Linked DNA regions of Kluyveromyces lactis. The protein of the gene in region 5 purifies or fractionates together with the protein of the main gene of each other region. This does not show direct contact. Links are inferred from orthologs where the notes say so. Each region holds a gene or a part of one and is shown on either strand. Other genes may lie near its edges. The genes, in order: MRPL3, ACC1, CCT2, CCT6 and SIT4.

Region 1 (5,514 bases), on a different chromosome or scaffold from region 5:
GGTCTTCCACGGTGGTTCCGGTTCCTCCACCAAGGACTTCCATACTGCCATCGATTTCGGTGTCGTAAAGGTCAACTTGGATACTGACTGTCAATTCGCTTACTTGTCCGGTATCAGAGACTACGTCTTGAACAAGAAGGACTACTTGATGACCCCAGTCGGTAACCCAACCGGTGAAGACTCTCCAAACAAGAAGTACTACGACCCAAGAGTCTGGGTTAGAGAAGGTGAAAAGACCATGAGCAAGAGAATCACTCAAGCTTTGGAAATCTTCCGTACTAAGGGTGCTTTGGAATAAAGTTCTTTTGTTTAGTACCATTATCCCAAACAATTTAACTTATAATTTTCTATATACAATTTAAATACCAGAACGCATGAAATGATCAAATGAAGACATCTGAACCATTAGTTACAAAATGATTGGCAGGGATCCGCTGTGCATCGGATACGTTCACCAGTGTTATCCTTGGACGCTACCGAGGACTTACCTGTTATCGAACTGCATTTGTCTTTTTCTCTCACGTGATCGACTTTGTCTCATAGTCCAGTTTGGCTTAAATATGAAAGCAGAGTTAAAAAACATAGGAACAGTTACAATCAAACAAAGTCACGTTCATAGTCCCTTAACACAATTACAACTCCAGAAACAAATACAAGAAACAGGGAGGACTCAAAGCGATGGATTTTTACTCCAATCTCCCGGTGAATTTACAACAACCGACTTTATTCGAAATACTCTCTGTCAATGAAGTGAAGAAGTTAATCAAACCAACTTTAAGGTATATTTTCTCCATTTATCTCCAATATAGAGGACCAACACGATGGCTGTTGAAGATTTTTAATAAATTTGACTTCATAATCTTGGTGATTAAATCTTTGGTTGAATACAGACATTATAAAACAACAGGTGCCACAATTCTTGACAAGTTCTATGGATTGAAAAGGTTTTCTAGATTCCCTAAATTAACCTTTCTAGGAATTTGGTTGAATGACTGTTTATTCGAATACGTTAGTGATATCTGTGAACAATACCATGAGCTCTTGCAGTCCAGAAAATTGACGAGCCCAGAATTGAGCTCATGGCAACAATGGTTTGATGCCTATTATCCTAAGCTACAGAAGACTATCAAAGTGATAAATTTCTGTTTCAAATTAAAGTACTTGCGTCATTCAAAAGACACTGATATGATCCATTTCATAACACAAATAAGATACCAACGATACCAAGAACCCGAAGAAGGAATTGCAAGTAGGAAAAATACTTTAACTCTTTCTGAACGTCGTCGTAAAAGAACTAATTTACCCAGAATATTAGCTATGACCAAGGATGCAGTGGAGAGCACATCGACCATGTTCTTGGACAAGTTATTCCCGAGCTTCCTAGTGATGATCAGAATTTTACAAATTATCAATCAGCGGCCTGAATTATTCAAGAAAGAGATACGAGTAAAGAGACCAAAACCTCCAGTACTACCTGGCGTAGCATCAGAGGTGGATAACAATGATACGACTGACGTATGTCCCCTATGCGGCGAAGAAATAACAGAACCTGCCATGATTTCATCTGGATATGTCGCTAATTTAGAGTGTGCCAAGAAATGGGTAAGCACAGAAAATACATGTTTCGCGACTGGTGTGCCCATAGATAAACGCATCCGTAAGTTATTAATATAGTTTTGCATTAATTTAGTAAATGAATAATGAGAATAATTGAGCCAGTAGCATTAGAATAATTCTGCATTGGTTTCCATTTGATTGAACATCGTTTGCATCATCATTATATCAGATTCCAGCCTAGAGATTTCTGAATCTAAGTCTGGAGCCGATGTTCTACTGTATCTTAGCTTTAATAACCAAATTTCTTTCAAGATTTCATCGCTTGGTCTATCATTATCTTCAAGATATTGAATCATCCTATCCAAATGATCTTTTAAATCACGTTTTAATAGTTTTAAATCGGAATGATCATCCTGAATTTCTACTCCACAGTTGATTAGCTTATAAGGATATCGTACACTCTCATGCCATTGTATCAAATTGCTAGTTTCAGGGAAGTAATGGAACTTGGATTTAATAATGTATTGTTTCGAATTCAACGACTGTAACATGTCATCGTAATCGTAAATGTCCGGGTCAACCATTAGGATTCCAATTGGATCAGAGGATTTCCAGCTGAAAAGGCTGAGCTTCGTATCAACGTTTCCAACTCCATCACACAGAAAACACTGTGATGCTATTTCATTTTCCAATACAAGGATAAATAGTAACGGACCTCCTTTACTTTCAATGATCGTCGAATTAACTTGCAGCAGAACTTCCTCCTTCAAATCCATATCTTGATCAAATAATGCAGAACAGGATCTAGCTATAAATAAGGCAAGGCCTCAAGACACAACTAAGTTTCGTACAACCTCCTTTTTTATTTCGTTCGAGTACAACAGTGTATGAATTACTATTATGTATTTGTATATTATATTTACAGGGAAAGAAATCTTTAAAAGTTGATCTCAACTGAAAAGGATTATGTGGAAAACATACATTGCTGATGCGGCCTGTCTATACTAACACTTCGCCTTGGTCAATAACGACATTCTGTTGGCCATGCACTGGTTCGTAACAGTACCATTTCAACAAAGCGTCTGTAGCGGCTCTGGCTTTAGCTTCTTTCAAAGATGAACCGTAACCCTCGCCTAATTTCTCTTCACCACTGAAAACGCCAACGATGAACAAGGGTGATTTAGACAATCTACCGTTTTCTGCAAGTAGTTTCGATACCGGTCTTTCCAATCCTTGGCGACGGCACAAAGCTGCCAGTTCTCTGGTTGGTTGTTCGAACGCGAACAAATCTTTAACGTCCAGCTTTCTGGACAAAATATGATCTGCGATAAACTTATGTGTCTGGTTGAAATCTTTGTCGACACTGTATACAGCGGCGAATATACTCCTTACGGCAACTGCCATAGCATTGTTCTCAGTGAAGTTATGCAATTCATCTACGGAATTTTGGAAATAACGTAGTTTACCCAATGTAATGGTAACATTTTCTTTCTTTGCATATCTATCCACTACACTTTGAGTTTCCGGTTCTATACCCCAGGAACGACCGACATTGCTCAAAACATGGTCGTTAATATATGCATCCACAGCAGCATTCAAAACCACACCCGGTAGCCTAGGATATTTTTTCATTAGCTCGGATGTAACTGCCAAAGTTAAAAGACTCTTACCAAAAATGTTCAAACTGACATTGTCATAGTTCACTTCCCCACTAGAACGACACGTCAAACATCTGGACAAAAGAGAATAGGATAAGCCTTGAGGCAATCTTAATCTGGAATGGAGTGCAACTAAATTGGGGCTTGTTAGTTCATGTGCAGGGTTCTTTAACAGTGTACTGATGGTATTCTTATATTCTTTCAATGATGACAGTTCTGATTGGTACAACCTGGCACAAGAAGCAAATCCTCGCACTCGCACAGGGTTCAATAGCTTCAAAACAGACATCCTTCTTTAACCCCCCTCGATGGTGATGTTGATTGCTGTATATATCAATGGCAAACCTCACCAATAGCTCACTGCATCACTCAACTTCTTTCCATCCTCTCTCTGTAACTCTTTCACTAAAATTTTTTTTCAATATTTCGATACTGAGATCTGCAATTACCCGGATATAGTAGACTGTTGATGTTTTCCGAGTAGTCACGTGATAATAATATGTTTTCACAGACATCTCATTATTCCAGATTCTTTCTGATACGGCGCACTTATGCTATGGATTGTCGATGAATCGGTAGCTAAACATATTTACAGACTATTCTAAACTACCATAAATTGCAGTTGGAATCGTAATGGTAGTCTACAAGGATCCCACTCTCATTTGGTTCAATTTTTCGCAAAAAGTGATGTTCAGCCCAATGTTGCGACGGTTTTATAGTGTTCCAGCGACATTTTTCCATCCTACAGTGTATGCATTATCAACGCCATCAAATCAGCACTCTGCAATAGCTATAATTAGGATATCGGGTACACATTCAAAGTATATCTTAAAAAAATTGTCGCCAAAAAAACCGCTACGGCAGAGGAAACCGATGATTCGGTCATTATATGATCCCAAGGCATCAACTCTGATAGATGAAGCGTTAGTCTTGTACTTCCCACAACCACGGACCTTTACAGGTGAAGATTTAGTGGAATTGCATCTACATGGGGGGAAAGCTATTATAAAGGCAGCGTTAAACTCAATCCAGGGTTTGCGGGACTCTGAAAGAGATATTCGTATGGCGATGCCGGGAGAATTCAGTCGACGAGCTTTCCAGAATGGGAAAATGGATTTGTTGAAGCTTGAAAGTATCAACAATATGATTCATTCAGATACAGAATTACAGCGATTGTCTGCATTGCATGGCAATCAGACCGTAGACATTTTCCATGAATGGCGACAAGAGATTATAGAGCAGATCGCTAAACTAACTGCAATTATTGATTTTGGTGAAGATATCGAAACGGAAGATATCGATTCTATAGTGAATGGTGCCAATGATAAACTTTTACAACTATACAAAAAAGTGACTCGATTCATGGTGAAATTAGATAGAATGGCTGTCTTGAACGATGGGATAAAGTTAACATTGTTGGGTGAACCAAATTCCGGGAAGTCATCATTAGTTAACGAAATATCTCAAGACGACGTTGCGATTGTCAGTGATATACCGGGCACCACAAGAGACTCTATCGATGTAATGATGGACATTAACGGTTTTAAATGTATCTTGACTGACACGGCAGGGATCAGACAGGGAACTTCAGATTCTATTGAGATCAAAGGTATTGACAGATCCAAAAAGAAAAGTTTACAAAGTGACTTAGTGGTATTGGTCATTGATGTATCTAACCCAAATATAAGTAAACATTTTGAAGAATTTATCAAGGATAACTTATCTGATAAACCTTTAATTGTCGTGTTGAATAAATCGGATTTAGCTACTGAAACCCAGTTAAAATACTTAATTGAAAAGTTCGATGCAGAATTTAAAGCCCTGAAAATTCATACAGTCTCTTGCTTAACCAAAATTGGATTGGAACCATTAGTTAAGACCTTGACATTAAGTTTCAGAAGAATCTCGGCAACTGAGAATGAAGATCCAGTCACCGTGTCCAATAGAGTCAAAGAAATTTTAAGCACTGATATTCTATTCGGCCTAGATCAGTTCTTCCAGCACAAGAATGACGATATATTAATAGCTTGCGAATCACTTAGAATAGCTTCCGATGGAATTGGGAAGATAACTGGTGATAACGTTGACTTGGAAGAGGTTTTAGACGTTGTCTTTTCGAAGTTTTGTATCGGCAAGTAATTGTAAATAGTTTTCCCATTCATCTGCCAATTCTTCCAATTCTTGCACTTGCTTTTCTAGTTTATTCAATCTGCCAGAAAGCCGTTGTTTCTCATCGACCCAATCACTAATGCCGTCATCTTTCTTGATTTTACTCTGTAAATATTCTAGTTTACCATAA
Region 2 (6,912 bases), on a different chromosome or scaffold from region 5:
CAAATATTCATGGATGGAAATGTCGTCACTAATACGACCTGTTCTGATAATACCTCTGGTAAAGAATCTCTTGTCAACCGGAGAGTTTTTACCAACGGCCTCATAGACATGAATGTTTCTGTTCTCAGTAAATATTTGTCTGATATTGAAGTTCGACATCTTACCTAGTTCAAGTTGGAAAGCTAGAGCTGGTTCAATGTGACGAATTGTTTCATCTTCATTGTAATTTGGACCACGGAAGGTATAGTACTTTGGATATGTACCATCACTGTATCCAAACACGAAGGTAATACGACGAATAGCAGAGTCAACTAATGATTGCTTGTTTAAATCGAGTATCTCTCTGAGTCTCTTTAAAACATCCGACTCAGATTCAAATCCTTCAGTTGAAGACACAACAACATTGGCAACATTAGACAAGCTGGCTGAAGAGCCAGATCTGTCTGGGACAGGGCCAGTAGACATATGATGAGAAGGAATTAAAGATAGAGCTGACGACAAAATACCATCAACATCATCTAGATGTCTAGCAGGAATCAACAAACCAGTTCTTAATGGTTGGTTTTCACCGTCAGAGACATAAGTCAAATCAGAGACAGAAATAGCTCTGTTCATACCCAATTTACTCTTAACCTGTGGCAATGAGGTGAATGCAGCAGATGGAAGTTGGAACTTCCACTCAACTACAGGTGATCCAGAAGACTTTTGATGCTTCAAATCACCAATAGTGTACGCTCTGTATGCTCTTCTAATGTAGACCTCGGCAGCAGCAGCAGAAACGGCATCATCTGGATTTGTCAAGAATTGGGCCAACACATCGAAAACAACATAGTTGGAATCGATCAAGTCCTTTAAAACTTCTAAATCAGGTTTTGTGCGCTTCGTTTCGGATGAACCATATGAAGTGCTTAAAACAGATGACTTAAGAATGTATTGAACTTGATCTGTTCTCTCCTTGATAGATGGCAAAGCACCTTGAATCAAAATTTCTCTGGCTTGTAGAGCAACCTTAGCGGTGGCCTTAGATTCTAATTCGACGATGTGTTTCAATGGTTGTTCGATAGCAGCGGCTACCTCAGAGCTCAATTTGCATAGCGGTTGATAATGCTTCAAAATGGCAAGGATCAGGTTGTTTCTGGCTGATACTCTGGAGTGAGCTAGGACGGTTAAAACAACCTTCTCCAAGTCGTCAGGGTTCTCATCACGCAATTTTAAGATGACGTCTTCTTCCCGAATGTTTGGCCCAGAGAACAATTTTTCGACATTGTAATAGTTTTCTAAGAAAGTGGCAAAGACAAAATGTTCATGAGCAGCAAGTCCCTTAGAGTAACGGGTAGTAATATCAACAAGTGGTTCAATGGTAGTGCTAAACAATGGGTCAACGTTAGGATCATTTAAGGCAGCTTCTAACATCTTTTCTAGTTGTCTTGCTGGGAAATCCGCATTTCTCTTGAATGAACGGGTGACCAATTGTTCTTGCATTTCGTCTAACTTAGGTGGTAATCTTGAATGTAAAGCAGAAACTTGTAATTTCCATTCAGAGTATGGTAATTCTGGTTGTCTCAACACTTCAATTAATTGCTGCAATGAAGCATTCATAATAACTTGATTGTCGTATCCCTTCAAGATGTTTTCCAAAGTAGTGACCAAAGATTTAAATTTGTATGCAGGCTTGGTACCTTCAACGATTGGAGCACCCAATTCTGGTAGCATGCCTTCGTAAGGCTTAGCATGTTTGACTTTACTAGGGTCATCTAGAGTTAAGATGGCTAGAATGTCACCGGCGGCCAGAGTAGAGCCTGGTTGTTTCAATAACTGAACGACACCATTTTCTTGAGAAATCAATGGCATTTGCATCTTCATAACTTCAACTTCGGCATATGGTTGGCCAGCAATAACATGATCACCGTTTTCGACCAAAAACTTGACCAATTTACCAGGAGATGGAGTTCTGAGTTGTGTTGGATCATTTTCAACCTCTAGTAGAGTTGTCTTAGAGTCGATTGATAATCTGGTAGCAGCAACTTCTTCCTTCCAGTAAATGGTGTGTGATTTACCACCAACGGCAATCAACAAACCACCATCAGATAACTTCCTTACGCCAACTTCGCACTTGGAACCGTTAATGAATAGAGTATAACGATCGTCGGCTGATTTAGCAACAGTAAATCTATATCTCATACCATCATGAATAAATTCAATTGGGTACATTGTTTGTAGTAATGATTTGTTTGGAACTTGGCCTCTCTTCAAAGATGAGATGTAATCTTCTCTGGCTTTTTGGGAGGCAATATGAGCCTTGGTAGCGGCACCACAAATGACAGATAGGGTTCTATCAGGCTTTTCAGCTGTCATTTTCTGAGAAATCAAATCATCCAACCACCCAGTCGTGATGGTATTGTCTTCGAAGTCTTCGGTTTCCAATAATTTGATTAAATATTCAACCGTAGTTCTGAAATCACCTCTGATAGATAATTCCTTCAAAGCAACAACCATATGTTTCCTTGAAGCTTGTCTGTTTTCACCGAAGGCGAAGATATGACCGAATTGAGAGTCAGAGAATGAATGGATACCACCATTATTACCAACAGAGAAATAACCCCAAACGTTGGAAGAAGAACGGAAGTTCAATTCGTGTAAAGCACCGCCAGATGGTTTGAAACCCTCATTTGGATCTTCGGATGTGATACGGCAGGCAGTACAGTGACCTTTAGGAGTTGGTTTTCTTTGAGTTTTAGCAGACTCAGGTGTAGAGAAGTTAAAGTCAATTTCGGATGCAGATTTTGGATCGACACCGTATAACAATCTAATATCTCTGATTCTGTGCATTGGAATACCCATAGCGATTTGTAACTGGGCAGACGGCAAGTTAACACCAGTAACCATTTCTGTGGTTGGATGTTCAACTTGTAATCTTGGGTTCAACTCCAAGAAGTAGAACTTGTCTTCATCATGAGAATATAAATATTCGACGGTACCAGCAGAAACGTAACCAACCAATTGACCTAATCTGACGGCTGCTTTTTCCATTTCAGTGAAGGTATCTGGCTTAGCGATAGTTACAGGAGCTTCTTCGATAATCTTTTGATGACGTCTTTGAACAGAACAATCACGACCAAATAGAGAGATGTTGGTACCATATTGATCAGCCAAAAGTTGAACTTCCAAATGACGAGCCTTACCAGCCAACTTCATAATAAAAATTGGAGAACCAGGAATTTCATTAGCAGCTTGTTGGTACAAAGACAGGAACTCATCTTCATTTTCGACTTTTCTGATACCTTTACCACCACCACCTTCGGAAGCCTTGACCATAATTGGGAAACCAATTTCCTTGGCTTTCTTTAGACCGTCTTCTGGAGACGAACAACAACCTTCTTGGTATACTTTATCTTCGACAGAGACCAAGTTAGTTTCTTTATCAACATGAACTTCATCGACACCAGTACCAGACCATGGGATACAAGGAACCTTAGCGTGTTGGGCAACGATAGTGGACGAGATCTTATCACCGAGAGATCTCATGGCATTTCCTGGTGGACCAATAAATATAATCTTTCTGTGAGAAGCGGCTAGCCTTTCAGGGAGTAGTGGGTTTTCTGAAGCATGACCCCAACCTGCCCAAACTGCATCTACATCAGCTCTTTCGGCAACTTCAACAATTAGGTCAACGTTTGCATAATTGTTATTGTTGGTACCACCGGGAACTTCGATATATTGATCAGCCATACGAATGTATTCTGCGTTGGCTTCAAGATCTTCTGGAGTGGCCATGGCCACGAATTGAACAGTTCTTTCATCGCCGAAGGTTTCATAGGCCCATTTACGAACCGATCTGATTTCTTTAACGGCTGCGATACCATTGTTAGCGATCAAAACCTTTGAGATCACAGTATGACCACCATGTGATTTGACAAACTCTTTCAATGGAGAATCATCTGCCTTATCCACAGTGTTCAGACCAATGAAATGAGAAGCCAACTTGGAATGTCTATCGCTATATTCAGTAATTTCGTATTGTTTACTTTGAGAGATTGAAACCTCAGAAAGATTTTCCTCACTCATTTTGCTTCTTAATATATTGCGTGTAGAATGGAATAGTCTTGGTGAAAATATGCTAAAATGAACTGTAAATTTGTTGGCGAGCGGAATGAACCGAGAATGTCTAGCTAAAACCGGGAACAGTCTGTAAAGAGTTAAGTTAGTCAATTTGATCAATGTTACAATAATGATAATAATAGAAAGTTTCTGAAAAAAAGAAACTAGCAAACGTACTATTCGGTTTATGCTTACTCTTTTTAACAAAACTTTCTTTAACCTCTATGAAGTTTTAGTTTTTGACAGCAGACAGACAATGAAGGGGAACAGTGATGTAATATCGAATGTGGGCTGAAAATAAAACTGTAACTCGGCAAAAATCGTTCACATATGCCTATATATTGCTGTGGAACGCTGCAGTTATGAGATTATCGGCAATATTATTATTGTGCGATGAACAATGTAGTACTAAACGAAGGCTTGAAAGATGTGAACAATGTGGGGATTTTCTAGCCACACTATCAGTTTCGCTTTCTAAGGAATACCAACGTTAGTTGTTCTCGTTGCTAAACAATATACCTATTCTTCACAGATGACAGGTTTCACACATACACTAGACGAAATGGAGTTGATGCTTCTGTCGTTTACCAGTCGCCATCCTCAATTGTGCATAAAAACATTGGATTTTCAATTTTCAACTTTCGTTCAACCAAAAAATAAAGTTCAAAAACGAACAAGTAGAACCCATTGAAAAACCTTAGCGCAATAATCGTGTACAAAAGGAAACGGTTTCAAAATTTCAAAATATGCAGTATCGTATTTTTTCCCCAACAATCTTCATTTTCTCAAAAACTGATATTAAGATAAAATCTTCTGAGAAACAATTGGTTGAAAAGTAATAATAGAGGAGTAAGGCGGTTCCAGTAATTCTTTGTTTCCAATGTCAATCTCAACTTGTCAAAAAATAAACTCCAAAGAGGTTTTCATTATTAGTAATAGTTTAGTTTAGTTTATACATACATCTTTTCACGGACAAAAAAGTCTCTTTAAACTTTATAACCTCAAAATTAAAATCGTGAAGGGTAAAAAAATAGTATTACTAGGCAAATGCGTTCAATACAATTGACGCAATATCCAGATATTAATTGTCAGAGGGCTGATGACCTTTTAGTAATAGTTGTACTCAAAAAGGGACAGATTTAATTGTGTGAAACTCCTATTGTCAATATTAACAGGAAATCAGAATGAATATGATAGGATGAACAAATAAATATTCTCAATACAAGTTGTTGTTGTTGTTTGTTGTGTATATTGAGTAATTCAGTTTCAAACTAAAATTATTCCTTGGATATCTTTAAAATATCTTATCTCTTCTAGTTAGCCCTTTCTCTTGATGAGTTTCCACAGAGTACTGATCAATTGAAAGTGAGTCAAGAGGTTTCAGAAAGACAGAAAATACAATGTATAAAAACCTAAGAAGATTTAGAGAATTGATATAATTTAAATTCACGAAGTTTATTTAAACCCCTTTGCTTGAAAAAAATAGCAGGAAAACCTCTTCTTTATAAAAAGCCGCCGAGTGCATTTCACTTCATCTAGACAAAATTTCAACTAAACTAACAAAACAAACAAAAAGATGAGAAGAGAAAAAAAAAAAAAACTTGGTTCTATCCATTCTACATCCCAGTCTAGGCATTTCATCCAAACGATGTGGTGATTTCACCATACTTGAAATTTCATAGCACTATTTTTTTTTTGGGAAAGAAAAAGTTTGAAAACTTGTTGGGATCGTTGTTGGATTTTTGTTTTTCTGTAGAACATTTCATAAAGATCCCATAAGTTCATACTATCCGTGGTCGTTCAAGATGATTCATGTACCAACAATTTGGTACACGTCACGTTGACAGCAACGGTATGCAACAGAATTTAGGATAAGAAGTGTGTTATATCTGGGCAGATAATAGCAATTAACCGCAATGCGCTTGGTTTTAGACTGAAAGAACGTTTGGCGTTTTAAGGGAACAAATCTTTGAATGAAGGAAATGGAGTAGTTGTATTCGGTTGATATACAGCGGTTATTTATGTGAAAGCTGCAACGATTGGATTTTAGAATAGATTAGCGATAGATGAGGGTTTGAGATCACGTGACTTGCGGTTTCTTGTGGTTTGCGACTACAAGACGTCAGAAAAAAAAAAGCGGAAATAGTATAAACTGACTGACATGAGAGAAAGATAGTTAAGTTATAGACAAATTGTTACAACGGTATAGAAAAAAGCGTTAAGCATACAAGGGGTGAGCAGCTGTTGGAATGAAAATTTAGATTGATAGAAATCATTTCGCATTTTGTATTCCAGCTTCCTTAATTTTCTTCAATAGGAACTCGTCGTAACCGACTCTCATTTGGTTCACCTTCTTCAACTCGCAGTGGTGCAACTTCGTATCCTCTTTCTTAGTATTGTATAGATCAAATCCAAGCGTCACTGAGACTTCGGAGTCAATCTCCTCTAATATTCTGATCCATTTGTGTCGCAACAACACTTTTTCGGACTCGAACAAATCAAATTGGACTCTAGCACTACGTTCTGCCATTTTTTGTTTGTATTTCAATCACTGGGTGAAACTTTTCGTCATAAAGCGGGTTAACAGCTTGTGTTTTATCGTGTAATCACAGTGTAACAAATCATCAGAGAATGAAAATTGATGATTCTCTAAATTATTCATCGGAGTTTTTCTGAGGGGCAGACTGACATATGTTCCAGCGTCCTTTTCATGTAAAACTGCACTCTTTATATTAAATTTATGTTTATTCAAAAGTGTGAAGCCTTGAAATGCGTTAGTGCATGTATGCTACCTTAGTATCTGAAATGCTTTCA
Region 3 (6,132 bases), on a different chromosome or scaffold from region 5:
TTCAAGGTCACGTGTGTTACGTATAACGTGACTTCCCCTTTTTGTAATGTAGGTCAATGGAATTTTGATTTTCTTTCAGCACTGAAATGGGTGATATTACTGTTAAGATCAATACGATGAACTATCCAAAAGGTTTAAATTGCAATTTATTGAAGTAGATAAGGTTCCAAACGATTCAAACCGAAGAACACGCTAGAGCGATAGCAGGTATAACATATTCTTGTTTTATTTGTTCCTGTCTCTTTGACTGATTGTGAGTAACGCAGGCATACTTCAAAGAAAACATTACGTTTGAGCTCAGTGTTAATTTGATATCTGACCTCTATTTTAATCGCGCTTGACTCCACAGATAATTCAAATACCAATTTAAGATGCCAAAGCTTGAACAATTTGAGATCAAAAAGTATTGGCAAATTTTCTCCGGATTGAAACCGGTGGAAAATAAGTTGACCCATGATCAAGTACTGCCTATCCTTTTCAATTCTAAATTGGACACCTCGATACTTAACAAAATATGGTTTTTGGCCGATATCGATGATGATGATCAACTAGATTTTGAAGAGTTTGTGATTTGTATGAGAATGATATTTGACATGGTTAATAAAAACATAGATTCTGTACCAGATGAATTGCCAGATTGGTTGATTCCCGGTTCAAAAGCCGAATTAGTCAAACAAAGAAAAACTGAACGTAGTAGCGGAACAGCAGAAACAAGTTCTGTGGTCAATGTTCCGACATCTTCGCCAGCTGTAGACGATTATCAAAAAGAAGTTGATTGGTATATATCAAGAGATGATAAGTCACAATACGAATCAATTTATGAATCAGCCATAACCTCTAGAGACAATAGTGTATCTTATGTTTCACTATCCTCCGCCGTTAGATCGAAGTATATCAATCTATCATCTCAAGATTTAGAAAAAACGTGGCGTTTGGTTAATCCTAAGCTTGACACTTCCATAGATAAGGATCCAGCACTATACTTTATTCATATTCTGAGACAAGTGAACGACTATGCTTGCCCAATACCATCACATTTACCTTCAGCATTGAAAGAAACTTTTACAAAGACTAGAGTTTCCACGGATTTGTCTTCCAAGCAGAGCGAAGTAAGAAGGCCAACACTATCCACATCTAACTCTTCATCTTACCAAATACCAAAACGTGGTGGTACTGATTTTTCTGTTACTCAGGGAACTGATTGGGAAGTAGTCAGACTTCAAAGGGAATTGGCAAATATTGACTCTGAATTATCGTCAGCACAGCAACAATCCACCTCTCATAATGACTCAAATGATAGAATGAAATTAGTAAAACAACAGTTAGAACAGTTCTTGGAATACCAAAAAAACCTTGTCAATAATTCCAATACTTCTTCAGAAAGCGTTGATGTTGGAGGTTTGAGGGATGATATAGAGAGTATTGAGCAGCAAGTACAAATGTTGGAGGAGTACCTGAAAACAAAGAAGTCGGAACTGCATAATTTGAAGATAGAGGTGCAATCTCTTTACTGAGGTTATTGACCTACCCTATATACTTTCTGGAGTAAATTTTGAACTACGTTGTTTCATGTATAATGATAATTCACTTCTTAGCTTAACTTTTTGGATATTAGAACGAAATTTAAACGTTTGTGGTGATTGCTTAGTACTAATTTAATTAATTTACATATGACCGTGCTGTCTATCGGCTGTTCTTGGTTTAGCCCTGATAATATTATCCACTCTCAAGAGGACTTCGGCTGCTTCGCTGGCTGAGGTTACTACAGCTCTTTTCAATTTATAACTTTCCACGATCCCTAGTTCTCTCATGTCAGCAATGGTGCCGTTATCCAAATCCAAACCTGATGTACTCATGCCGTTGTAAATCGAAGATCTTAACTTTGTGATCAATTCACTACTATCGAAACCAGCGTTGTCCGCAAGAATAGTAGGCAATTGTCTTAGGGCTTTTGCAAAAGATTCTACAGCAAGTGCTTTCTTACCTTCAACATTTTGCCCTACTGTGTCAACAGCTTTTGACATAATCATTTCGGCACAACCACCACCCAAAACAGTTCTGGTTTCTTTTGTTGTTTGTGAAAGGACAGATAAAGCATCATGTAGAGATCTTTCAGCTTCGTCTAATACTTGTTCGGTTGCACCTCTTAGTACAATAGTACAAGCTTCACCAGATTTACAACCACTGAACTTTGTGAAAGTTTCTTCACCGATTATGATTTCCTCGATGAGCTTACATTCACCAAGTTTACATTTTTCTGGATTGTCAAATGTCGAAACAACTTCACCACCAGTCACAAGTGCTAGTCGTTCCACACCTTCAAAATCAGCATGTTCAATGGAGTTAATTCCTAGATCTGTAAACATTTGTTCAGGGTAGTCGTATATCAACTGTCTGTTGATGAACGTGTTGATGTTGAAATTAGCAATCTTTTCAATCTTCTTTTTCATTTTTTCACGTTCAGCTTTCTCTAATTCTGCAAGCTTAGACGTAGAATCAACCTTGAACTTGGTACCAAAGATCTTGACCTTGTCAGTATCTAGAGAAGTGTTGGCAATCAAAATTTTAGCATTTTCCACGCGCTTTGGCTGGTTGCTACCAAATCTTTTTGGTAAGATAAATCCTTCATCTAAGAAAGAATCAGAAAGCTTACCACCAATGATCTTGATAATTTGAATATGTTCCAAATTGGTGGAACCCTTCAATCTGAGAATGGCATCTGTTGCCAATTTTGAGAAATGATCTTTATCTTGAGACAAAATTTTAGATGAAAGTGTCGTGTTTGCAATGCTGATCAAATCGTTGTAGAACTCTTCCTTATTATTCGAGTTATCCACAGCGGCCTTCTCCAATGCTGATAGAGCAGCCGCAGATGCAATTCTGAAACCTTCAATAATGGTTTGTGGGTGGATTTTTCCTTGTTCGACCAATTTCTCAGCCTCTCTCAATAGCTCAGCACTTAAAACTGTAACACTGGTAGTACCGTCACCAACTTCATCATCTTGGACTTTACTAATGTTCACAAGAACTTTAGCGGCGGGATTGTCCAATGGAATCGATTTAAGAATAGTAGCACCATCATTTGTTACCATGCTAGTGTTGTTAGATGCACTTTGAAGTAGCTTGTCCATACCTTTTGGTCCTAGAGTAGTTTTCACCAAATCACCTACAGCGATGGCACCGACAAAAGCACTCATACGAGCATTTTCAGCCCTTTCTTCGGTAACTTGATCCCCAAAAATCGGAACGCTCATTCTTACTTGATGTTTGGCGGACTGTTGCTAACTTTGTTGGAAGTAGAGGATGATCAAAAAGAATTGGCCACCGTGATATTTTATCTGGTATTCTGCAAACATACTTATTCCATCTTCATACAATTTAGTAGTTTTTTTTTTTCTGACGAAAAATCAACTACAGGCATATAACGTCACGTGAAAGGGAAATACCTGAAAACATCATAATTAACATTGCTTCTATCATCATTTCAGTCCGCAAATTTGGGGTAGACGATCTCATTGATAGCAACTCTCGGTAATTGCTGGGTCGAAAAATGACACCTGTAATGGCGTTTTATATACCAAACAAATAATTATTAATTGTGCATTGTTTAAACGGTATTACTAAATTCAACTTGGAAAGTCATTTTGAGTTCTTTAAATATTAAATGATCATTGATGCCAGAATATGTGTTCTCATTACTCGTTTCAGGCAAAGGGATCTCTTGTCGACGTATATTGATTAGGGTATGCATTATATCTTATATATAGTTTTATGAGATAACTTATTCATAACTGTTTTTATTATATGGGCGGTTCGCTTTCCAATTCTTTCAACCGCATTTGCTCTAGTTCTTGTTTATCATCTGTAACACCTGACATTGAACACCCAGTGAAGTCATCTAATCCACGACTATACAGTGGAACAGGGTCAGCCGGATAGCACAAAGTCATATCCGTATCCGTGAAGATACGAGAGGAAGGTGATGGCCCGTTATGTCTATGTAACAAATAGTCGTAAGCTTCGTCTATTGGAGATTCAGCGCTAGAGCATTGGTTGTAAACTGCATCCACATCATCAGGTAATTGGTTGATAGAATGGGAATCCAGACGGTCCACTGTGGGCGATTCAGGCTCATGTTCTTCTCTGTGTGTTCCGATCACAACTTCGATTGACATACCTGTAACGTTTCTTAGACGTTTGAGTCTGTCTACATTAATCAAATCTTGGAAAAACGTTACTGAATCATCTTCGCCAGCAGTAACCTCACCCTGGTTTGAGAGGTCTTGGAACATCGAAAACTTGTTCGACGGCATCGGTATACTACTAGTTCTCTGTCCACCCACAAGTCTATTGGACTCTGTGTATACCAAATTCTTCCTTGACAAATTTGCTAGGATCTCCACGTAATACTGGAAAGTGAAGAACTTATTCTTTAAATCCAAACTCGGGAAGGTGTCTAATGGAACCTTTAGTTTCAACATTATAACAGCTTCATGCGTTTCGGGGTCTGTATATAATGGGGCAACACCTTGACAGATATCTTTTCTAAATGTTTCGATCTGTTCTGTATTTCTAGGGTTTGAAACCCGAGAGATTCTGACCAACGTTGCAATCAACCCCGCAGGGTGGAAGTATTGTTTGTAATGAGTGACGTGGACTTTAACCGGAATTTCTTCTCCGATGGTGTATCCTAGACAGGGAATCTCTACCGAGATCTTGACAGTCTTGTTATCAGCGAGCATGGAAGCGTTGGAATTACCTGAATTATTTGAGCTTGATGAACCATTAGTGATAGTAGAGGATCCGCCTGTTTTCCTAGTCAGAGACGAAGCCCCGTCTTGTGGGTCTGCAGAACCTGCTGCCATAAGTCTTCTAACATGGATTCCATTATTGCTTGAGTTGGGTGATTGTAAGACCACCGTCTTGATATTTGGCTTTGGTAATTGGCCGACGTCTATTGGCACAATCAACTGGTAATGCTGCTTGCAAAAGATAGGAGGCGTCTTTTGGGCATGAAGCTCTGCTTGAACCCAATATCTTATGGAACCCTTCTTAAAATCTATCGAGCTCACCAAGTTCTTACCATTAATTTTACAAGAGAATGGAAACTTGTGTTCACCGCCAGTCAAGTGTAATGGATTCTCCTCACTACCATAAATACTCGTGGACCTGCAAAACACTGTATCAGAGTATTTCGATTTTAGAGAACCTGCGGTCATCGGGTTATTGGAATGGAGTTGAAACTCTCCTATATGAGCAAGTTTAATCCAAACATTAGGCACATCTTTTCTCAATCGAAGCTTCACAGTCCCACTGATAGTCTCGTTCGGTTTCCACACTCTGTGCACATCATCAAGTACAATTTCAAACTCCAAAATGTACGATTTCATACCGGAGTGCTTGAAAATGGAGCTCTTGCCAGCATTGCTCACTGAATCGAAGCTACTCACCACAAATGCACTAGGAGAACCTCGCTCAGCTCGTTCGTTCGACCGCAGAAGTTTATCAAATAATCCCATGGTCTAATTCGACTTTAAGCTCTTATATGGAGGCCAAAAATAAACGAAAGGAACACGAAAGAAAAATACAAGCCGGCACACAACCTAAGCACAATTATGTCTTCAAAAATCTAAAGCTCTCCCTTATCTTGTTTCACCCTTTGGACTCTATGTTCGTTTGGTTTATATATCCGTGATAGTAAATACTCGAAGATCCATGCTGTTATATAATGGCGCAGTGCAAGTTTTAGACTATTCTCTACTTTTTTTTTCTAAGCAAGAAAGCCATTAAAGAATGGAAATTTATTCAAAAATTAAGTTGAAGAATGAAAAAAAAATTGGTAATAGCTGAGTAACAAACCATAGCACACCCTCGAAACAGAAAAGAAAAAAAATGTTTAAAGCCCGACTGGACACGAAAGCATGGCAATTTAACTGTAGAATCAGGTGGATTATACTGTTTGCCAATATTTATCATTCAGTAAATTATTATCTTGATTTTGATCAAAGTCGGAAATAAGTAGTCATTGGGCATGTACATACATATGTTTTATCTTCAAGTACGGGACAGGAAAGGCTGCCAAGTACGGGTTTCGGTTTGAGAACAAACTGACAATTTGTAAGGGATGTGAAG
Region 4 (6,223 bases), about 1.2 Mb from region 5:
TAAGTTTATTATAAATATATACTGACAACAAATAAAATCATAAATCTATATTATAACCTCACTTTTTAAATCCTGAGATCTCTTTCAAGAATCCGTTAGGGGAGATTATATCAGTGCTACCATAAATGACCTTCTTGTTGCTATTTTCATGTTGGTGAACCCATTCTTGAAGATTTTGGTATTCAAAGTAATTACCGCCACCTACAACAAACACCAAGGATTTATTATATGTCTGACTCTTTGGTAGCTTCTCGTGCGAACCCCTTGTGCTTCTAGGATCAAAGTAAAGATATTCACTTGTAATGTGAAGGTTCTTTTTTGAGCTGTTCAATGGATCCATGATGGCTTCGACGATATTGGTAATGGGAATCGTTTTCTTCTCGGGAAGAAGTTGTTTGATTCCAGAAAGAAGAGAACTAACACCTTGTATTTTCCCCTCAGTTAATCCATATAACTTGTTTGATAGTCCGGAGAGAAGCTGTGATGCGTTACCGTCCTGGCCTTCTGAATTAGCGGATGTATGCGTTTCTAATGATTTATTTTGTAATGCCATTGAAGAGAGTTTGAACATATGTCTCAAATCATATATGTACTTTAATGCGCTGATATCATACTCGACGCTTTGGAAATATTGCTCCACTTCTTTGACAAAGGCGCTAGGCAATATTTCTTGTGCTGTCAGGTACATTATGATATACGTACGCGCCTTATCTTCGATGTTGTTAGTCTTTCCATCTTTAAGAGCAGCAAGGAAATCTTGTCTGGTTTTAGAAGAATCGGAAGATTGTTCCAACTCAAAGAAAGAATCTAAGCCTTTGCTTTCAAGCTGTTTCAAAAGCCCTGCGAGAACTGTCATGTGTGTATCAATGGTAGATTTTCTAGCTGTGAGAAGTGGTAATTTTTTCACAGCTTCTTGAATTTGTATAGTGTCACTTTGTCCTGTTGGATCAAGATCTGTCAAATTGCTTACACCAGTCTTCTTGGTAATTTCTTCTGCATCTTTTTTGTAATTCGAAAGTTCAGTTTCCACGTTCTCGACAGCATCAGGGAATGGTAGATGAGAATTGGCAATCCAGAAAAAATCTTTTGGGTCTATATCCATTTTTTTAATAACCTCTTCGTTTTGCTCGTTGGTGGTAGGCATGGTTATAGTGTTTCTTGATAATTTGAAAACATCAAATACCAAACATTGATAAATCCAGGAATGTGCAAACATAGAAGCAATGTCAATATTTCTATCCACTATAACAAGAACAAACCGCTCAAATGAAGTTGATCCACTAGCTGAAGATCTGGTACCATTGACATAATCACGCAGTTTGGTTTCAAGTTTTTGAGCCACCATTTCAGCAGCACCACCCCTTTGTGCTCTAATAATAGGTATAGTTCCAATTGTGACGATAGCATTGAAGATCCCAGTAGCAATTGAATCGCATAGATTAGTGATAACGTCCTCAGAACTCTGAGGATTATTAATAAGTCCATAAGTGCCGGGCATCTCCAATGAAAACATTTCCGGTTCTGTTACAACGAAATCCAAATATTGATCGTACACTTGTTTTATTCTGTCAGACTTGCCAGTAGCAGAAGCCTTGCTTGCAAAGGTTTCTAAAAGATCTCTTTTCAATGTAGTTGTGAAATTGATGTATGTTTCTGAATACTTATCTTCTTTCAAGTCCTGGACAATCGCATCGATGTTCGCTTCTGTTGGTTCCACGAAATACACTGCTGGAACATCAGGTAAAGGGGATCTCTGTTGTGTGATAAGGGCGTGAACTGTAACATTGGATTTTAACAAGTCATTGACTCTCATAACAGATGATATTATAGCGGTGCTCCTAGCATCCATGATCAGTACTTTCCAAACGATCTCTTGTTCATCAAGATTGCTTGTTGCTGCTTCCGTTCCTTTATCTGAATTGAACAGTAGCATCTTTTCAATAGACAGAATCTGTCTGTCTCTTAAGGACAATTCTGAATTCAGCATATTACTCTGGTATATATGTGATCCCGATGAGGTATGCTGTTCAATGGTTTGCAGTCAATGACTTCACTCTCGTCCGTACTTTCTGTACTTTTGGTGTGTCTGTTTATTATAAAGGTGCTTCCAGTTTTGATGTTTAATCATTTTTTGAAGTATATTAGTATTTCGTTTTCGGTGATGGAAACGGTATTTGGCCAACACGTAGATTTGGATCTATAGCACTCGTGAAGAGATCGCATATTACATATACATCGGCCAAACTTGAGTCTTGTACTTCGTATTTATTTCCATTTAGTATACATAATTCTATTTGATTTTGGAACCTACGTTAAAGACAGTGATATTTTTTAATTGTACCAGCTTCATTATTGTGGTGGACCTTCCTTCAATGTAGATCTACCGGCTCTGAGTAGTTCGTCGCATAGCAACAAGTTAGAGGCTATACCTGCGGCACCAGTTACTGCATTTCTGAGGACACGATAAGAGTCCCAAACACCTTCTATAGTTGGATCACAAGAGTCGCCAATATTTAGATCAACACCCACTATTCTTGTCTCATCTTCTTCCAACTCGTCTTGGCATTGGGCAAGTACATCAAGGGCATCATATCCGGAATTCTTTATTAATGTCTTAGGAATAGACAAAAGTGCGTCTGAAAAGGCTTGTACACCTGTTTTTGCTTTACCTTTGGCGCCTAGCTTGTTCATATTCGCCCTTTTCAAGTGCTGGGAAGCAGAAATGAAGAATGCCCCAGCGCCAGGAACGACAGCACTGTCTTTGATGACATTTGCAACAGCTCTTAAACCATCTCTTACTGCATCTTTGGTTTGGGTCAAAGCGTGGTGAGTAGAACCTTTAATCAAAATGGTACAAGACTTAGGATCTCTGTTTTCGGTGACGTAAGTAAATTTCTCCTCGCCGATAGTTTCCTGGTAAACCAATCCGGAATAACCTAAAATTTTAGGCGAAAGATCATCAACGGAATTTTGAGCTTCACCCCCAGTGACGAGTTGTAGTCTTTCCATATTACGTCTCTTGGCTCTTCTTAGAGCAAGAATGTTGTGTTTAGCAAGAACATCTAATGACATTGGGTCGATACCTTTTTGGTTTATGATAACAAAACCCTCTTTAGAATCCATACCACATACTTCATTCTTCAAGTCGATGATTTTTTTTAATTTCTCATCAACAAATTTTCTTTCACTAGCAGCCAACTTGTCTCGTTGGTCAGCAGAGCTGTAAAAGAAACCAGAGTTGACTTCCGTCTTCTCATATTCCAAAGAAACATTTAGAATCAAAACATGTGCATTTTCGACTCTGGTTGGCATATCAGGATGTCTTCCTCCATGATCCAAAATTAATCCTTTAACAAAAGTGGTATCCTGTGGAGATAGATGTTGCATTTGCATTATTTCAATCATGTGTAAATCTAGATTTCTGTTGTTAGGATCTTGAACAGCCAAAACAGCATCAGTGACGATTGGTGTTAAAACTTCAGTGAGTTCTGGGTTGACTTTAGTACATAAGGAACTTCTGGCAACCTGCAATAAAAATTCACGATCCAAATCCTCCTCAGCGCTCTTTTCGATTTTGAAGGTATCCAAAAAACTTAAGGTTTCCTTTCTTGCAATCTCAAACCCGTCAGTAATTGTTCTTGGATGGACACCTTCTTGAATATATCTATAAGCTTGTTTCATCAGTTCTCCCACCAAGCAGACAACGGTTGTAGTACCGTCCCCAGTAATTTCATCTTGGGCAGTGGCTGCACGAGCAATCATGACAGCAGTCGGAGACTGTATTTGCATTTCAGTCAATAGGACTTTACCATCTTTGGTCAACTTGATATTACCGGCACCATCGACCAACATTTTCAAAGTACCCTTAGGTCCTAGGTTAGTTTCCAAAACGGATTGAAGACCCTCCGCTGAAGTGACGTTGACTTTTAAAGCAGCATCTCTTCTTAGGGACTCGGCCTTTGGATTTAACAACTGAACTGACATAATTATCTTGCTTTCTCTCTATTATGCACTGCACGTAATTGGTATTGTCAAATTATGACTTTTGATCTGGATAATAAGATGCAAGCAATTGACTGCAATGAATATCACAACTAAATATTAGAGAGTATAGATTGATTTCGGTTCTATTAGAATCAACGTTGTGGACGAAAATGCAACAGTATCTTTCACTCTTTTGAATGTTATTCTTCTTCAACACCGAACGTTAGCCATAATTAAAAGCTTTACTTTCTCCATCAGAAAACTTAGATCACTGTTTTCGATTAATTTTTTTTCTTTGGAAGTGGCGAAAGCTAATGGTTACCCGGTTATTGAAGCAAAGCAACAATCCATGCTGTCGTGATCCTCATATTTATGCAAAGATGATGAAGATTATACTTTAGTAGGACCGCACATCTTCAGTATAATAAATACTAATAGTGGTTTTCAATGAGAATTCTCTAAATATTTTGGTCTTCTGTAAATTGATTTATATGATGATATGTATTGAATCTATTCACATGAAAGACTATGCCGAAATGATGTCCGTTATGACGACGATGATGGCTGTTTTATGGATTGTTTCCTATACGAAACGAGGTAAACAGTAACTTTCTCTATTGATATTCATTTTTTAACTATTGTCATTTCACTGGGTCTATTTTATCCTATTTCTTGGGCCGCCTGGAGACTTCTTGTTCCTTGCCGTCAAGACTTCAACACCATTCTCGGTGACCAAAAGGGTTTGCTCAAACTGAGCACTAACTTTACCATCCTTTGTTGAAGAAGTCCAATCGTCAGGCCAGGTGATATCTTGCCATACACCTTCGTTAATCATAGGTTCTATAGTGAAGACCATTCCAGGTTTCATGACACCGGGCGTTCTGTTGTTAGCATAATGTGGAATGCTGGGGGCACAGTGGAAAAACTCACCGACACCATGACCACAGTAAGTCCTAACAACAGAGCATTTGTTGGATTTGGAGTGCTTTTCAATGCAGTCTCCCAAGGATTGAAAAGTTACGCCTGGTTTACACATCTTGATGGCGAGTTTCAAACATTCACGGGCAGTTTCAACGGTATTTATGACATCCTTGGCGATAGTCTCACCAACGTAGTAAGTTTCGTTTAAATCTGCATGCATGCCTTGGTAATACAATGAGACATCTAAATTGACAATATCTCCCTCTTTTAGAACATATTTGTCAGGAACACCATGACAGATAATCTCGTTCACAGAAGTACAGACGGATTTAGGGAAATTATAGTAGTTGAGAGGAGATGGGTATGCTCCCCTCTTGATAGTCTCGTTATGCACTATCTCATCAATTTCATCCGTAGTGATACCTGGTCTAACTGCGGCGGCCGCAACATCTAGCACTTCTCTACCTAGAGCACAAGCTTTTCTGATCCTCTTAATTTGCTCCTTATTGTAGACAGGAATCTTGTTTGTTCTATCATTTCTTTGTTCGATGATGGGTAGCCCATTTTCTGCCCAATCTGGTTTCTCGATCTCATCTGGGACCTGTCTTTTTGGCGACAGAGGGTATTGAGCTTTCAGCTTGCCAGTATACTTGAATTTTGGAAACGGATCATACACCTCACCAGAACCATCTGTACCATAATGTAAAGCCTTATGCTGTTTGTACCCGTCTTTGAAACAAGATTCTCCACAAAAGACCTCTTCAATACCTTGCTTCAAGCAAATCGGGCATTTTAACATCGAATCTGTAACTTTACCACATTGTAGACTAGAACAACGGACATTAGCGATTTTTTCCTGCATTTTTTCCTCTTAGTGTCTTCCAAGATTTACAGCTGCTATGTCAGTAAGTGCAGTTCAGAAACACCTTCTATATCACTTGGAATACGTTTGGTATAAATAAGTGAGAGAGAGGAGTAGAAAGAGCTGTATCTGAGCTTCTCTCATCGCATCTCGTTCTCATGTTCTTTATTAAAGGTCGAAACAAAAAATTTTATTTGAAAAGTCAGATGAGTTTAAATGTCATACTTTTCTTTTAATTCTACAGTGCGAAGACTCCGCATTATCTATGACACATTTCTAAATATCTTAGGAACAACCTCGGTTTAGGGCGATTGAGAGAATAGTGCTTAGAAAATTTTGATTAACTGGCGGTTACTTCTGATCCTAAGTAGCTAGCTTATGAGAAGGTGTTTTCCAAAGGCATGTTTTCTTAACTTTCTCTCAAAACGCTAATGAATAATTACTATATAGAACTTT
Region 5 (5,425 bases):
TTTGGAACATAAGCAGATACATGTTCGACGATTTTTTCAACACCAGTCTGTTCGTCATAGTTTCTACCTAGGGCATCAATGAATTGACCTTCTGGGTCCATCAAGTAGAAGAAAATGGAATGATCAACTAAATAATCCTGGCCAGGTTTGACGTTTGGTGGAGTAGAGAAATAGACTCTGTATTTTTTGCAAGCATTCTTCACGGCATCATAGTCACCAGTTAAACCGATAATGTCAGGGTGGAACTCGCTTAGGTATTCTTTCAAGACTTCTGGTGGATCTCTAGCCGGGTCACAAGTAATGAAAACAGGTTGCAAATTGATGTCACGCTTCTTTAACTCAGTTAACCATGCTCCTAACTTATCTAACTCATCTGGACAAATATCTGGACAATGACTGAAACCAAAATAGATGATAGAGAACTTGCCTAGCAAGTCTTTCTCTGTAAATGGATTCCCATTAAAATCAATCAAACTAAAGGGACCTCCGACCAATGGCCTACCGTAACCTCTGTTAGCTTCCGCCTCCTTCTCGGTCTCTAATCTTTGCTTCTCATTTTTAAAGAAATAGTACACCCCGCCTCCGATAAGAATGAACAAAGCTGCTGCTTTCCAGGTAGTAAATTCGATGGTAGAACCTGTATCAACTTTTTGGGTATGAGTTTCAGCACCGCCAATGGGTATCCTACTTAATGGCTTCTTCTTAGGTTTTGGACTACCTACTGCAGGGGCAGGGTCATATTTCTTAATCTCTTGTAACTTGGTTGCAGATACGGATAACGATCTGTAATGATTCATAAAATGGGCCAAGGTAGTTTTCCTTAGCACTGGTCTCATTGCTTCTTTAGAAGCAAAAGTAATACTAGGGACGCGAACAATGCTGCGTAACATTACAATTTATAGTTGATACTGTATTAGCAATCCTTGTTATTGTTAAACCGTTTATTCCCGATGTGAGTAACCAAAATGCTGCGTTTTGTTGGTATCACATCATTTATGAAAGTTATAAGTGCAATCATATGGCTACATTTTTTGTATAAAATGCTCTTGAAATTTTAAATATTTCAATGCAGCTTTGGAGCTGAAGAGATACTGGTAAGAAAAAAAAAAACCTATTCTACACACGATATTCTATATATGATTCCATATCAAATTGAATATATTCGATGATCTAGTTTGGATTAGATCAGGACTCTGTGAAGCCTCGTGAAAGACATAATGGCAGTTTAAACGTTATCATTAATACATATATCTATATATATTACCGGGTTTTAGACTATTTAAGTTTCAGGGGGGTTGGTTTCTCAGTAATGATTTCAACCCATTAAAAATTACGTTGTTTATAGTCCACTTTCCAATTAAATCCTAATTCCTGATGGATATCTTTGAATTCGTAAAAGTTAGGTAAATGTTTGATTTCTAGTGTACAGTATATTAAGAAGGAATTCTCAAATAGAAGGAGAAAAAGAATGTTTAGTCCGATGTAAGTTCGCATAGAAGATTATACAGACAAAAAGGCCGCTGCAATGTCGCTCTATAAGAAATATCCACCTCTTTGGTTATTATTGTTTGTTTCTTGGATGTAATCGTCAGGTACAGCGGAAAAAATTTTGAATGTTGGATCTAAATCATCTTCGACTTTCATGACACTCGCCACATTACCACATCGATAACAATAATTAGGTGCAGACCATACCGTTACAACATCCTTCTCCGGAAAATGGTATTTGAATCCTTCCATAACTAGCTGGTGAGCTCTTGCGATTAGGCTTAGGCCATTCACATGATTAAATTCTCGTGAGACTTTGCTACCGAACAACCATCCGGCACCACGAGGTGAGACTTGCCATGCTTCCACGTTGTCGGGGTCACTCCATAACAAATCGGAGAAGCCACCTTCATGAGGAACTTCTTGGGCTCTCGATAGAACTCTGATCTGATCAAGCATTCTAATCTCGGGAGACAAACCACCATGCACACATAAAATTTTCCCGTCAATAATAGCTGCCAAAGTTAAGAAATCAAACACTTGACAACAATACTTCCAAACCGTTGTGGAACCATACTTATTTAAACATTCCTCATAAAACCCATAAACTTGTGTAATTTGCCTCGACTCATGATTTCCTCTAACCAAAGTAATTCTGGAAGGATATTTCACTTTCAAACACATAAGAAGTGTGAACGTCTCCAAACTGTAATAACCACGATCTACATAGTCACCAAGAAAAATATAGTTTACTTGATCAGGAAACCCACCAGCAGTTCTGAATAGTTCTAAAAGGTCATGAAATTGTCCGTGAATATCACCACAAACAGTCACCGGCGATTGAACCGGCTGAATATTCGATTCTTCCATTAAGAGTTCCTTCATCATCTCGCATAGCTGTTTCATCTCAGACTCCGTCAAAGCCTGACATTTCTTGATCTTCTCAAGCCACAAATCTGGCCCATTATCTGACATTGTGATATTTTAGCACTCCGGAGACAAAACGCTCTATAGATAGATGAACTTATGCAATGGCAAATTAACCTTTACAAGGGAAGATAAAGTTCAAAGGTCAATAAAAAAAATAATAATTATAATAAAACCCAGTCCTTACCTGTGAAAAAATTGGGATAAATTCCTTCTGAATTTCTTGTAAAGTGATTATGATTAGCGTTCTTGTAAATAAAAACCACAACAAGCTTAAAACCTGTGTTTGGAAGTATTTCTTGCACCTTTTCTTTTCAACAAGAAACACTCACTCACTATAGGAAAATTCAATAGCTCAAACAAAGAACAGCCCTATATCACTACTCTTTGTTGATGGCTAAAAGCTTGTTAACAAAGTAGTTAGCTATAAGGATGTTTCCTTCTCTCTTTGTTTTCTGTTGTAATCATCAGTCCTTTTACAAAAATAATGGAAACTTCAACAAAATTTCAACTTCTCTTCAATTTCTTACTTTTTTTTGCAGAATGTGACCTGGAAGACAAACAGATATATGTGAGAGCATTCTTATATCTATATAGACATGTCTGTAAAAATTGAGTCTTCCAAAAGTGTTTCACGACTGGGTATGATAGTGGGACCCGAATCAGGTTAGGAGGGGCTGTGTCATCTATTTTTACATACTATATGTATATTATCTATCATTTACTTATCGAGCCAGGAATCTTCCTGGTTCAACGAAAATCTAGAGACGATCTTTTCATTGATATTAGGGAAGATTACTGAGATATCGTTAGTCTTCATCGTAACGCACACTTGCAGGCTTGGAAACACATTTCCCTTCCACAATTGTTGAATTGAAAGTGTGACAAGGATATTTTCAAGTGATTCTGCGGTGTAATTGTCTTTATATATCGATGGCATTTCAGGTGGATATAAACCGATGGATTTTGCTAGAATTGGTCTTATCACAGAGTATGGTAGTTTATTTGAATTGCGCGGTATACAGTAGTATAGGAAAATAGATCGCAAAAGGGATCTGAACGTTATAATGGGTAGCTTTTCCAATAGAACAATCAACAATTTAGATGATTTCAGCCACGATTCGTTCTCGTAAAGCCAGAAGTTTACTCTGTTCAAGTTTCCGTTTTTAACGGCAATCACAAGAGCTGTGTATTTCTGTGCTAGGATAGGGTCCCATTGAGATAACTTGTTGAAATCTGGCAACTTGCTGATAATGATACCACATGGAACTAAAAACTTCAACAATCTTCTCCTGTTGTTCTGTTTCGCAATAGAGTCGGGTAATGTGGCTAGGAGTTCGTAACATTGGTTCAACTGATGGAAAGCATTAACCATTCTATGGTTTAATAGGTAATATCTCCCCAAGTAATACCTATACTGGATTCTCTCTGTCAACGGGTATTGGTTGAACGAATAGATATTAGACTTTGGTTTCAAATTCTTGAAGATGTTAGCGCACGAAGATGGGGAGTTAATCTTGAAATAAATCATGTTCAATTTGTTTGAAATATAAAGCAAGACCTTCTGTTTCCCTGACAAATGATCAAATTCGACCTTATCATCATCGACCCTGGCTTTAATGCTATTGAACAATTTGGAAATGATGGAAGCAATATGGGTCAGAAACTGATGCTGTCTTGTACCAATGATCTTATGGTTAGCATCCAATCTAATAGCCATTGGAATGACCAATTCTGTTGTAGCTGTAAACAGTGGTACCAAAGAATCAATAGGGTACATTGTTGTCTCGTTTGTGAGACATGTATTCAAATCCTGGTAATATTGGAACACAGAGAAGGACGATTCCCATAATGAATATGGATTCAGTTCTTTACAGTACCCAAGAAATGAACTTACCAAATTATTAAACCTGGTCCATCTGTTCTCATAAAGAGAATGTGAATTTATCAGGGTCTCAAGGTCAATGCTGTCATTGGATCTCAAAAACTGTTGCAATTCAAGAATTAATTGTCCATTTCTTTCGATGTTTATATCCAATACACTAAAATCACCTGCCTTTAGAGCCCCAAAGAAATGGTCCATAACCAAAAACCACAAAGGAAAATCCACTGGCGCTTTTCAATTCAAAGTTTGTCCTATAAAGGTGATCTGAGTCAAATGTCAACCAGAAGTTTTTCTGATTTGTCTGATTCTAACCTTAATATTAGATGAGCCAGGTACAATGTTTCAAGAGACCATGATTTCCGTTTGTTGATTTTTCTTGTCACGTGATCGATAAAGTCACTTGAAGACTTGCCTCGACATATATCCATAAACACTCTTTGGGGTTTACATACAGTGTTTCGCCTAATCCCAACCTCCGAATGCGCTTGCTAACGATATGGACACCTTTCTGCTATTGTGTATGATGAACCATACTTTTACAGCTTCCTCAGTAAGAAGCCCCAAACATCAACTAATCAAAGTCACGTGCCGGAAAAATTTTCTCTCATTTTCGATTTTCCCCGGCATTTCTTCGTCTGCACCAATCTCATCGAGCATGAATCGGATCCTCATTCGTTGGCTCTCTCGAGAAATATTTCAATTTCGTTGATTTCAATTTGCAGTAACTTTCTTCTTTCCATGCACTTTATTTCAACTTCTGGGGTTAGCGATTGCTTATGTTCCATTGATTCTTAGTTCATAGCAGGATCGTACACAGAATCACGTATTAACTAACTCGAGAAAAATGTCTAACACTGAAAGAACTTTCATTGCTATCAAGCCAGATGGTGTTCAAAGAGGTTTGATCTCTAAGATCTTAGCTCGTTTTGAAGACAGAGGTTACAAATTGGTTGGTATTAAGTTGGTTACTCCAACCGAAGCTTTGTTGAAGGAGCACTACGCTGACTTGGTTTCCAAGCCATTCTTCCCATCTCTATTGTCTTACATGACTTCTGGTCCAGTTTTAGCTACTGTCTGGGAAGGTAAGGATGTTGTTAAGCAAGGTCGTGCTATCTTGGGTGCTAC

Evidence for each region.
Region 1: the proteins of SIT4 (region 5) and MRPL3 purify together in Saccharomyces cerevisiae (affinity purification with mass spectrometry; 3 studies listed by BioGRID). This does not show direct contact. The link is inferred for Kluyveromyces lactis from reciprocal best matches to the Saccharomyces cerevisiae genes SIT4 and MRPL3.
Region 2: the proteins of SIT4 (region 5) and ACC1 purify together in Saccharomyces cerevisiae (affinity purification with mass spectrometry; 4 studies listed by BioGRID). This does not show direct contact. The link is inferred for Kluyveromyces lactis from reciprocal best matches to the Saccharomyces cerevisiae genes SIT4 and ACC1.
Region 3: the proteins of SIT4 (region 5) and CCT2 purify together in Saccharomyces cerevisiae (affinity purification with mass spectrometry, with the first as the bait; 4 studies listed by BioGRID). This does not show direct contact. The link is inferred for Kluyveromyces lactis from reciprocal best matches to the Saccharomyces cerevisiae genes SIT4 and CCT2.
Region 4: the proteins of SIT4 (region 5) and CCT6 purify together in Saccharomyces cerevisiae (affinity purification with mass spectrometry, with the first as the bait; 3 studies listed by BioGRID). This does not show direct contact. The link is inferred for Kluyveromyces lactis from reciprocal best matches to the Saccharomyces cerevisiae genes SIT4 and CCT6.

The regions. Positions count from the first base shown.
Region 1 is NC_006041.1:684,886-690,399, forward strand, and holds MRPL3 (mitochondrial 54S ribosomal protein mL44), read right to left. Parts: upstream 3,505-5,514; coding exon 2,557-3,504; downstream 1-2,556. Other genes in the region: fructose-bisphosphate aldolase FBA1, read left to right, coding at 1-298; PEX12 (ubiquitin-protein ligase peroxin 12), read left to right, coding at 679-1,674; KLLA0_E07613g (uncharacterized protein), read right to left, coding at 1,725-2,333; MSS1 (Mss1p), read left to right, coding at 3,849-5,354; KLLA0_E07679g (uncharacterized protein), read right to left, coding at 5,316-5,514. UniProt on the Saccharomyces cerevisiae protein: Component of the mitochondrial ribosome (mitoribosome), a dedicated translation machinery responsible for the synthesis of mitochondrial genome-encoded proteins, including at least some of the essential transmembrane subunits of the mitochondrial respiratory chain.
Region 2 is NC_006042.1:580,429-587,340, reverse strand, and holds the start of ACC1 (acetyl-CoA carboxylase ACC1), read right to left. Parts: upstream 4,066-6,912; coding exon 1-4,065. Other genes in the region: KLLA0_F06061g (uncharacterized protein), read right to left, coding at 6,371-6,628. UniProt on the Saccharomyces cerevisiae protein: Carries out three functions: biotin carboxyl carrier protein, biotin carboxylase and carboxyltransferase. Involved in the synthesis of very-long-chain fatty acid synthesis which is required to maintain a functional nuclear envelope.
Region 3 is NC_006039.1:983,746-989,877, forward strand, and holds CCT2 (chaperonin-containing T-complex subunit CCT2), read right to left. Parts: upstream 3,255-6,132; coding exon 1,665-3,254; downstream 1-1,664. Other genes in the region: END3 (End3p), read left to right, coding at 372-1,514; RIM8 (Rim8p), read right to left, coding at 3,801-5,519. UniProt on the Saccharomyces cerevisiae protein: Molecular chaperone; assists the folding of proteins upon ATP hydrolysis. Known to play a role, in vitro, in the folding of actin and tubulin. In yeast may play a role in mitotic spindle formation.
Region 4 is NC_006040.1:1,554,499-1,560,721, reverse strand, and holds CCT6 (chaperonin-containing T-complex subunit CCT6), read right to left. Parts: upstream 3,985-6,223; coding exon 2,350-3,984; downstream 1-2,349. Other genes in the region: SLY1 (syntaxin-binding protein), read right to left, coding at 59-1,987; methionine aminopeptidase MAP1, read right to left, coding at 4,640-5,767. UniProt on the Saccharomyces cerevisiae protein: Molecular chaperone; assists the folding of proteins upon ATP hydrolysis. Known to play a role, in vitro, in the folding of actin and tubulin. In yeast may play a role in mitotic spindle formation.
Region 5 is NC_006040.1:312,710-318,134, forward strand, and holds SIT4 (type 2A-related serine/threonine-protein phosphatase SIT4), read right to left. Parts: upstream 2,464-5,425; coding exon 1,534-2,463; downstream 1-1,533. Other genes in the region: KLLA0_D03630g (SCO family protein), read right to left, coding at 1-890; THP1 (Thp1p), read right to left, coding at 3,137-4,498; YNK1 (nucleoside diphosphate kinase), read left to right, coding at 5,145-5,425. UniProt on the Saccharomyces cerevisiae protein: Involved in the dephosphorylation of the large subunit of RNA polymerase II. Is required in late G1 for normal G1 cyclin expression, bud initiation and expression of certain genes that are periodically expressed during late G1.